3 separate regions of the Mus musculus genome follow, and all the other regions are reported to be linked to region 1. Evidence: microRNA targets listed by miRTarBase, many of them from high-throughput screens and not tested one by one. Region 1 holds a microRNA gene; each other region holds the end of a gene's coding sequence.
The links. The annotated mature microRNA mmu-miR-1930-5p reads ACCUCCAUAGUACCUGCAGCGU and lies in region 1 at 2,095-2,116, opposite strand. An mRNA with a match to its seed (bases 2 to 7 or 8) in the 3' UTR can be bound and repressed. Matches are read on the target gene's strand: a 7mer-m8 pairs with bases 2 to 8, a 7mer-A1 pairs with bases 2 to 7 and ends in A, and an 8mer does both.

Region 2: the mRNA of 9430038I01Rik is a reported target of mmu-miR-1930-5p. Seed matches in the 3' UTR shown: 7mer-m8 at 779-785.
Region 3: the mRNA of Ebna1bp2 is a reported target of mmu-miR-1930-5p. Seed matches in the 3' UTR shown: 7mer-A1 at 2,247-2,253.

The regions. Positions count from the first base shown.
Region 1 is chr10:77,640,097-77,643,351 of GRCm38, reverse strand. It overlaps Mir1930 (microRNA 1930), which reads right to left and starts at 2,128; the gene lies at 2,045-2,128. It overlaps Ube2g2 (ubiquitin-conjugating enzyme E2G 2), which reads right to left. Exons shown (of 6, transcript NM_019803.3): 4 at 1,774-1,892.
Region 2 is chr7:137,373,756-137,377,010 of GRCm38, reverse strand. It overlaps 9430038I01Rik (RIKEN cDNA 9430038I01 gene), which reads left to right. Exons shown (of 4, transcript NM_029886.2): 4 at 660-1,442. The coding sequence ends at 689. Among named protein-coding and RNA genes, the nearest start is that of 9430038I01Rik, 35 kb to the left of the region's middle.
Region 3 is chr4:118,625,325-118,628,579 of GRCm38, forward strand. Ebna1bp2 (EBNA1 binding protein 2) reads left to right here. Exons shown (of 9, transcript NM_026932.4): 8 at 199-361; 9 at 496-2,452. The coding sequence ends at 546. D4Ertd617e (DNA segment, Chr 4, ERATO Doi 617, expressed) reads left to right here and starts at 1,080. Exons shown (of 3, transcript NR_029469.1): 1 at 1,080-1,682.

The DNA.
Region 1 (3,255 bases):
AGGCCAACCTGTCGTGGACTGATCAGGTCCTGTGGTCACGGACAAGGGGGCTTGGGACGAGGTCTGTCTAACACAGACCAGTTGCAACTGAATTCTACCTTATTACATATTTCTCTAGGCATTATCACTAAAAGGAGGAAGTGAAAGATGTATGGACAAATATTCCAAACTCAAGTTCCCAGCGAGTAAGATCCCTCACGGGGCCCTGCAGAGCAGGTGTTTAGACATCCCTAACTCAGGTGGCAGAGCCACCCCCACCACCGAAGTCCATGTCCGTGTAGCTAGAGCAGAAGCAAGACAACTGAACTCCTTAGGTGCGGAGAAAGGGGGGGCATGTGCACCAGAGCCACCCAGCTCAAAATTATTTTTACAAAATACAAAGACATCCATTTGGGCTGGAGAGGCAGCTCGGCCAGAGTTCAATTCCCAGCACCCACACGATGGCTCAGAATCATCCTTAACTCCAACTCAGGGGATCTGACTCAGTCTTCTGGCCTCTGTCTGTTATATAAAGACACACTTGCAGGCAAAAAACCCATACACATAAAATAAAATTGATATATACATATAAAAAAAACCCTGGTGTCAAATAAGTAAATGTTTTATTTTTACAAAATAGAATATCCTACTTGAATTTCAGCTCCATAGGCAAAAAGATCAGGATTATCAGTGGCAATGAAAAACATTTATAATGGGCGGTGGTGGTGCACACCTTTAATCCCAGCACTTGGGAGGCAGAGGCAGGCAAATTTCTGAGTTCGAGGCCAGCCTGGTCTACAGAGTGAGTTCCAGAATAGCCAAGGCTACATAGAAAAACCCTGTCTCGAAAAACCAAAAATAAATAAATAAATAATAAAAAAATAAAGAAAAAGAAAAACATTTATAAAAAGAAACATTATCCTAAATGCCATCATTGAAAATACACCACCACTGTCCATTTCTCTTAGGTAAGTTTGGCTTGGGCAAACGTGCATGGAAGTCAGCACTTGGGAGACAGACAGGAAGATCAGGAGTTCAAGGCCATCCTGAGTAATTTAAACTCTCCATCAAACCTCTCTTATGTATAATAGCTACTAGTAAAAGGAAGAAAGAAACCCCTACTCCCAATCAGGGCATAGTCGCGGACAGTATTATGGTCCCTTCCAGGCAGAGATGGAACTCCAGAGTACCAGTGAGTCCTCACCTACTTCCCACTCAACACAGCACAAGTGCTCCATTCCAAGCCTGAGTGACAGGAACTGTTTGTCTAGGAATTCCTAACATGTCCTCGGTGCCTACATGCAGGCTAACTACAGTGTGCCCTCTGCTCTGCGGTAGGACCACTGGGCTGTTTTGCTGTGTACATGTCTGTGTACGACAGCCTGGCTCCAGAGAGGCGAGCAGAGGGACCAGATTCCCAGGAGCCTCAGGTGTGAGCAACAATGTGGGTGCTGGGTCCTCTGCAAGAGCAGCAAGTGCTCTAAACCACTAAGCCACCTCTCTAGCCCAACTCCAAATGTCCGCCATTAAAATGACACTGTGACAAAGGCCAATGTAGGACACAAAGCACTCACGGCCTCAAAATTCTAGTAAGCCCATTAACACAGTGTTAAGTGTGTGCATTTCCCCTCTACATTAAGCTGACCTCAAAGCGGCAGTCCTGGTGCTCACACCGTAACTCACTGGTCACAGCTTAGAGTTGAGAGCCCTGTGCCTGCAGGCCCTCCCTGCCGTTCTTAATTAACAGTGTGGCTGGCACTCTGTTGCCTGTCAACCTCATTTAGACACACTTACTGTTGGGATGGAACATCTCACAGGTGAATCTCATCTTCGGAGGGCTCAAGGGGTAGTCAAGTGGGAAACTCAGGATGGCGGGAAAAACACCAAACTCAAAACAAGTGTCTTCAGGGCCCCTGAAAATCAGGAAAGAGACACATTTGCAATGCCAGCCACAACTCAGATGTGCAAGAGGGATACTACCACGGCCTAAAATGGTGCATGAACAATCTAAAGGACTGCTGCTTTCTCTCCCTGGAGAGTCCATCTCAGTCCTTTTCAGTCTGAGGCACGAACACAGCCACAGCCACAGTAACTGCACCATAGAGAAAGTCAAGCACGCTGCAGGTACTATGGAGGTGACCGTGGGCATGTGGTCCAGCTCCTATGAGGACTCAAGGTGTCAATTCTGGCAGACGGTAATCAAGAAGACTATGCACACAGATGAGGAGCTACGGAATATAGATCAAAGGACATTTTGAATTTTCAATTATGTCTAAGGTGTGACTTTTAGAACGGATAGGGCACACATGTGATCCTCAACTCATGCTCAATGCACAAGCAGCCTAAGGCCACAGCAGTCCCACCAGACCCTAAGACTCCAATCTGCACCATCCATGTCTTCTGTGTAAATAACAGAAATGGGCCAAGCCATCACAGAAGTCCTGCTCAAGTCCTAGAGACGGGGATGCTGACTGAGACCTGGCGGCAGGGACCTAGGAATGGGTGGGATGCTGCCAGACACCCACCCCTCCAGTCCAAACCTTACTAATGTGACCCACGTCAGCAGTTCAGGAGACCGTGGACACTGTTCACTATAAAAAGTCAGTAGGGCAGGAATCCTGGCTATAAGCTTCCTGCATTAGCATGGGTGAGATCATCTTGCAACAGCCAGCACAGCAGTAAAAACTGGCCCTGCACCACTCACACTGCCTGAGAGACCCAGGCCCCGCATCAACAGCAAAGTAGGCAGGGAGGCACACCTGACTCAACAGCCACACTGTCGAGGCAGGAACAGGAGGATCTAAAGTTGGAGACCAGCATAAGCAGCATAGAAAAAAATTTAAAAATTAAAATATATGTTTAAAAAATAAAGAACTCTGCTTCCCTGTCTAAGCAGATCTAAAACAGAAAGACCTTCCCACAGGATTTCCACAGACAGGATCCATGTTAGATCCACAGTTCCACAGAGATTGAAGATACCAAATGGAGAGGAAATAAGATATTGATTCAAAAGTCATCTTTACTTACTAGAAAAGACTTTCTAAACATACAAACTTATCTGGATGTAGTGAAGCCTAGTGTCTAGAGCAACCTGGTCTACACAAGATAAAATTGTCTCAAAACAAAACCAAAACCCAAGGCGAGCCAGGACGGGAGGGTGGCTCAGCTGTTGAGAAGGCACCCACTACTCTGCAGGGGACTTGAGTCTGAGTCTCAGCACTACAGTGGAGAGTTTGTAACCACTTTGGCTCTGGCTTCAGGAGGCTCCAACTCTGC
Region 2 (3,255 bases), not on the chromosome of region 1:
ACCGCTACGATCCTGGGGTGCTTCCAGACATCCACAGGACCATCAAGCCACACTGCGTGTGTTTCGAATCCTGATTTGGTATTCTGACAGCATGTTTAAAATTTTTATTTTATGACAGGCTGAGTGATATTTTCATTCTTTTTCTGCAAGTAATAGAGGATGCACCATGTGTTTAGACTGTTCTTTGTGGGAGTAGGGATACTTTAATACCTTAGCTACAGTGTAGGGATATTAATAAATATATAAGTTATGACTTAGAAGCCATTCTTTATAAGCACAAGCCAGGCCTGTACAGAAGTATCATTTCTGTAACCCCAGTACTCCAGAGGTGGTATACAGCAGCTAGCCTGTTTACTATGTGTATGTGTGTGTGTGTCTCTCCCCCTCCCCTGATAATATAGTAGTGATTACTATTATCTTATTTTTGAGACAGGGTCTCACTGTGAAGGCCAGGTTGGCCTGGAACTTACTCTGTAGCACAGGCTGGCTATGCTCTTGTGTGTGGATGCTTCACATGTGTGGGGATTATAAGCCTATGTCATCACACCCAAGCTAGCCCAGTTATTATAGTGTTCTCTGTGTTGGTGAATATCTAACTGAAGCCTGTTATTGAATGTAGAGTGAATTAATGCTCACAGTGTGTTCTTTTACCATTGCAGGGCCATTTTAATCATACCGACAATCATTAGAAGATGCAAATGGGGCTGGTGAGATGGCTCAGCGGTTAAGAGCGCAGACTGTTCTTCCTAAGGTCCTGAGTTCAAATACCAGCAACCACATGGAGGCTCACAACCATCTGTAATGAGATCTGACACCCTCTTCTGGAGTGCCTGGAGACAGCTACAATGTACTTACGTACAATAAATAGATAAATATTAAAAATAAAATAAAATAAAAAAATAAAAAAGAAGATGCAAATGGGACGAAGGAGGATGCCAGTTGAATTTGAATCCTCACTTGATGGCCAGTGCATATCCCTTACAGCTTGCCTGGGTGCCCACCTGTCCAAATGACAGTCAGGGCTCCCTGCAGAGGTTTTCTGCCTCTTAGGTAATCCCACTGTCCTCTGCAGAAGGCCAGGGACATCCTGAGTGGGATGGCTCATTGCAGCCTCTTTTGTAATGTCTTCTGCTGGACAGGAAATTATCTAGAAGTCAGAACGTTCTGTACCAAACTGCCTGGAGGTTCTGGATCCTCGCAGCTCTCGTAGTCATTGGGCGCAGCCGGAGATCTCCCTGCCTGTGGACTATGGGTTGCTTCTGGACGTTGCTGGGCTGCTCAGTGCTCTTTTTAATTAAAAGACTTATTTTTGTATTTTAAATGCTTTATGATCTTGATGTGAATTTTATTAAATGTTGATGTCCAATCAAGCTATGTAATTCTCCAGCTGAAGTTATCAGGGACAGAACCCCATTTATATTAAAATGGAAATTGTGGACAGCTGTCTGGCTTGGTGTGTTGTGTAACTCTGGAGACTGGCCTTGTTTTCCCCGGATCAGGAAGCTTCCAGAGTGGAGGTCCTACAGAAATGACTGGATTATAGAACTGATTTCATCGTCTTTAACTGGAAACTGGAAGTGGGCCCCAGCCCTGTCTTCCATGTGTCCATAATGTTCTTTACAGGGCTGTGGTCCCTGCCAGGAACACATGGAAGAACCCAGTCTATACTAACCCAGATGTGTGGTCATGATGAGGCCCACACTGCAGAACTGAGACAGGGGAAACCAAGCTGCTGGAACTAGTGTGATGCTGTGTGTGAGGGAGACGCTCCGACATCACAGGACATAGCCGTTAAACCATGGAAGAAGCTAGCACTGCAGCCGACTTAGACACGACAGCCATGCCCAAGCAGCCAAGACAGAGCCAGGCTGTGGTTTGTGGCCTTAAAATAGTGGGCGAAGGTGGTGGTTGTTTAGTTTTTCTCAAAAATGACACTAATTTTTTTTTTAATCACACAGCACTTTATACAGGTATTGTAAGCAGTAGGCATTCACATCTCCACGTGAACAATGGCCCGGGAAGCATGGCCCACCAGGCCCATGTCCCCGGTGAGTGTTCCCAAGGCTCTGCTGCCCTGGTGGCCCTGGCACAGCACAGGTGACACTAATTTTTATAAACAAATGGAAACCTCCTAAGCTCCCATTTATTTCCATCTGTAAACTCTGCCTCCATATTCATTAAAAGGGATGTTCATATTTTTGTGCTAGACGTTTTTGTGCTTCCAGAAGCACACAGATCACCCAGGCTGTGAACCTAGCAGTCCCTCTGACCATCATCTAGCCCATGAGACACATTGCTGCTCCATGCTAGAACCCAGCAGAATCTGATTCTGTCTTCTGTCTACTGAAAGTGCCATGAGTGACCTTAAAACTTTAAAAAAAATTAAATTCAGTGTGTGTGTGTGTGCATGTTTGTGTGTCTGCGTGTATATGCGTATGTGTGTCCCCAGAATATGTGTGGAAGTCAGAAGACAACTTGCTGGAGCCAGTTCTCTCTTTTCACCATGTGGGACCTGGAGATCAAACTCCAGGCTTGGCAGCAAGCACCGTCACCCACTGACTCATCTCTCCAGCCCAAGAAGTTCTTTAAGCCTCTTTCTTCTCATCTGTGTTGGATGGTGGTGGCACATGGGATTTTCCATCAGCATGGAAAGCAGCATGTTCAGTCGGCCTGGGGAATCTCCTGTGAGAGCCATTTTCCCTGCTGCATGTCCCTCTATATCCCTTTTCTTCTATGAAGCCAAGCCAGGGGAGATTATCAAGAGAAAAGAGCCAGAGGGTGGGTGAGGTGGGCCAGCTTGTGTTTCATCTGAGATGCCTGGAATTCTAGACTGCATGGAGCAAGAACACTGAAGAGGTGGCACTGGGCAACACATGGGCTCTCCTGGCTTCTTCCCTTTAGAAACAAGCGGGGCTGTGACATCCCAGACTTTCTGCCTTCCCTGTTGACAGCAGGAATCCACCTGTAGCTGTACTAGCCTCGGGGAGTAGCAGAGCTTGGCATTGCTTCTTCCACTGGCTCTGCCACCTTCACCATCCTCGCCCTCACCTCGACCCCACTTGCCCAGTTCTATAAGTATCTCTTCATGACTGGGACCACTGGTCCTTGGACCCAACCTCTCTCTTATAGACCATGCCGCTGTGAGGGTGTAGGGATAGAGAGCATTTGGGTAATATCTTGTTTTAAAAAAGTCTCTGTATGAGTATAAAACAATTCGTGGCAGAGGGACAGGGAGATCACGGGTGTCAGTGGCCT
Region 3 (3,255 bases), not on the chromosome of region 1:
TATAGATCCTTTCTTCCTTTTCTTTGTTTGTTTTCCTTCTCATATGTCGTGAACAGATGAGTTTGCCTGGGTGGTTTGTAGAGTAAAAATATAAGCCAAGGAGAGCCTTAAGGACTGCAGAGATGAACCTGTGGCTGTCACCCAGCTATAAGGCTCATGGGGTTTACAGTGTACTGTCTGTGGGGCCACCTTTTTCAGGCCTAATGCCAAACGAAGATACAAAAATCAGAAGTTTGGTTTTGGTGGAAAGAAGAAAGGCTCCAAATGGAACACGAAAGAGAGCTACGACGATGTCTCCAGCTTCCGAGCCAAGGTGGCTCACGGCAAGGGCTCCAGGAGGCCTGGGAAGAAAGGGGCAAATGTAAGTGAGGGGTCCAAGTTGGGGCCTGATTAGTATCTTCTCAACCCCCTTTCTACTCCCCTTGACTCCTCACCCTGGCACAGAAGGCCAAGTGCTGTGTGTGACAACATATGGTTTTTGTTTTGTTTGTGCAGAAGAGACCCGGAAAACGAGCAAGACAGAAACTGAAGAGTAAAGCCCGCTGAGTAGCATCATCTTCTATAAAGAACCCAGGAGAAGGGGGGTGTACAGCACACTCAGTGTTTGTCCTGCTTTTTGTAGAAAATTATTTTAATAAATTAAACTTATGGAAGAAAGATACTCTTGGGTTAAAACCAGATACTTTTTAAAAGATGGAGAAGTTTGCACATTAAAGAGTATTGCTGCTGTTGGGCTGTTGTGGTGCACACCTGTAATCCCAGCACTTGGGAGGCAGAGGCAGGAGATCTCTGTTGAGTTCAAGGCCAGCTTGGTCTACAGAGGGAGTTTGGGACAGCCAGGGCCACAGAGAGATGCCCTTTCTTGGAAAAAACAAACCCAAAATCCAAACCAAAAGAATCTTAGTGTTTGTTGGCCATGCCTCTCTTTTGGTAGCTGCAGGGCGGGCCTCCACCTTACCGTTTCTTCGTCTCCCAGATGCCCTTTTACATTAGTCCCCCGGGAGGACTGGCTGTGGCAGGTTCCTGTGAGAGCCCGGGTCTGCCATAAACTGTTACATGGTCTCTGTTTTAGGCCATCTAGATTGGTCCCTTACTTCCTGTGCCTGGTATTTTCCTTTCTTATTTTATGCCTTTTGTTGTGTTCCATTTTTAAGATCTTTTAAAGAAAGGAAACAGGAAAAATTTCCACCTCCTATTCTGAAAGCGACTTTAATTTGACTGGTATGAATTGTGGCTTAAGATGCGAGGGCTACAGGCAGGGTCCTGCTGCCTCCCTTGGCCATGAGGACCGTGGGGCTTCTCATTCCCGTCCTTCCCTCCTAAGCTTTTCTGACAGTGGAAGCCTATGTATGGTGCTCTGCTTTCTGGGCTGGTATTTATTCTTTGATTAGGCTATTTAGAAAGATTCAGGTTTTAAAAAATATATTGTTTTTCAAGACAGGGTTTCTTGGTTTAGCCCTGGCTGTCCTGGAACTCACTTTGTAGACCGGGTGTCCTCAAACACAACAGACATTGCCTGCCCCTGCCTCTGCCTCCGGAGTGTTGGGATTAAAGCTGTGTGCCACTTTATGTGACAGATTCAGGCTTTTATCTGCCTAGTAACCCCTCTCTGCCATTTTATCATCTCAGGAACTTGTGCTTTCCCACAGTTACAGTGTCCTGATGTTTCCTGGATGGGAATGGTAAGTTTTGAGAATATTTTCTTCTGTTCCCTTCATCCTGTTTGAACTGTTTTCTTCCTTGGACATTTGGCTCCAAATTACATTTTGTTTTGAGACATTCTCAAACTGTAGCCCAAGCTGGCCTCAAACTGCTCCCCCTCCCTCTGCCTCCTAGTGCTGGGATTGTAGGCTTGCTGGCATCCCCATTCAGATGCAGCACTTTAGTGTTAATGGCTATAGTGTATATGTGTACAGTGTTGATGGTGATCAGTCAAGGTAATGGGCGTTTGTATCTCGTTCTCACTGCCGGTGCCCAGAGCTTCCTGCTTCTAAAAGGGCAGATGGCTGTGTATTAGGCAGACCTGCCTCTGTGCTGTAGACACTCAGTTTTTATGGCTCTCTCTACCCTGTCTCCCTTTCTCACGTTAAACACTGCCCACTTCACAATTAAGGTATAACCCTATATTCTATATCCTTAAGCAGTCCCTCATTTGGGATTTATTCTGCTGGGGTTTTGTAGTAATATACCTGTGATGGTTTGCATATTCTTGGCCCTGGGAGTGGCACTATTAGGTGTGGCCTTGTTGGAGGAAGTGTGTCACTGGGGGTGGGCAATGAGACCCTCCTCCTAACCAGATGGGAGCCAGTCTTCTAGCAGCCTTCAGATGAAGATGTAGAACTCTCAGCGGTGCAATGCTTGCCTGGACTCTCATGCTCCACCTTGATGATAAAGGACTGAATCTCTGAACCTGTCATCCAGCCCCAATGAAATAAATGTTGTGCTTATAAGAGGTTGGTCATGATGTCTGTTCACAGCAATGCAAACCCTAAAACACTACTTTGTTGCTCTATCAAAATACCTGAGTTGAAGTACTTCATAAAGAAGGGTTATTTACCTCAGCTTTGGTCAGTTTAGGTCCAGAATGGTAGTGCCTTCAGACGAGAGCAGCGGTGGCATGATGATGGTAGGTCTTACAGCAAGCAGAGGTTGTGGGGCCAGCCTTGTTTAACTTGCTTTTGTAGGAACAAAATTTGTGACACAGGTACCAACTCCACCAATGTCAATGCTCCTGGGACCTAATACCTGCCCCTAGGACTCATCTCTTAAAGGACCCCCTCATCTCATCACTTAAAGGATTGTGTACCTTCAGCATGTGAGCCCCTGGGGGGCAGATGGGGTCTGGATACAGGGGCAGCTTTCCGTAATGTCTGCTGAGCCTTGCTGGTTGGGTTGGAGATGCTGAGGTGCTTATGAGAGACTGCAGGTGTGCTGTGTGGCCCCTCTGGGTCCTGCTGCTAAATGGGGTAGTAACCAGCTTGTCTCTGCTCTCCTCTTTGCTCCTGAAATCATGCTTTGTTTTTAAGAAAGTTGAAAATAAGAACCACATGTATTACTAAGAAGATTTTCATGTTTTCTTATGGCATGCGGGTGCACACATGAGACAGTTGTGGTTTTATATGCTAGTGAATTTCTAGAAGCAAATAGTTTTGATCTCATTTCGGCTAAGTTCTGGTGGCACTGTTGTGTTTTCAGAAGACCTGATATTAACAGTTGACAGCACTCTGGGGTGTAGTGTAACCTCATCAGCCCAGT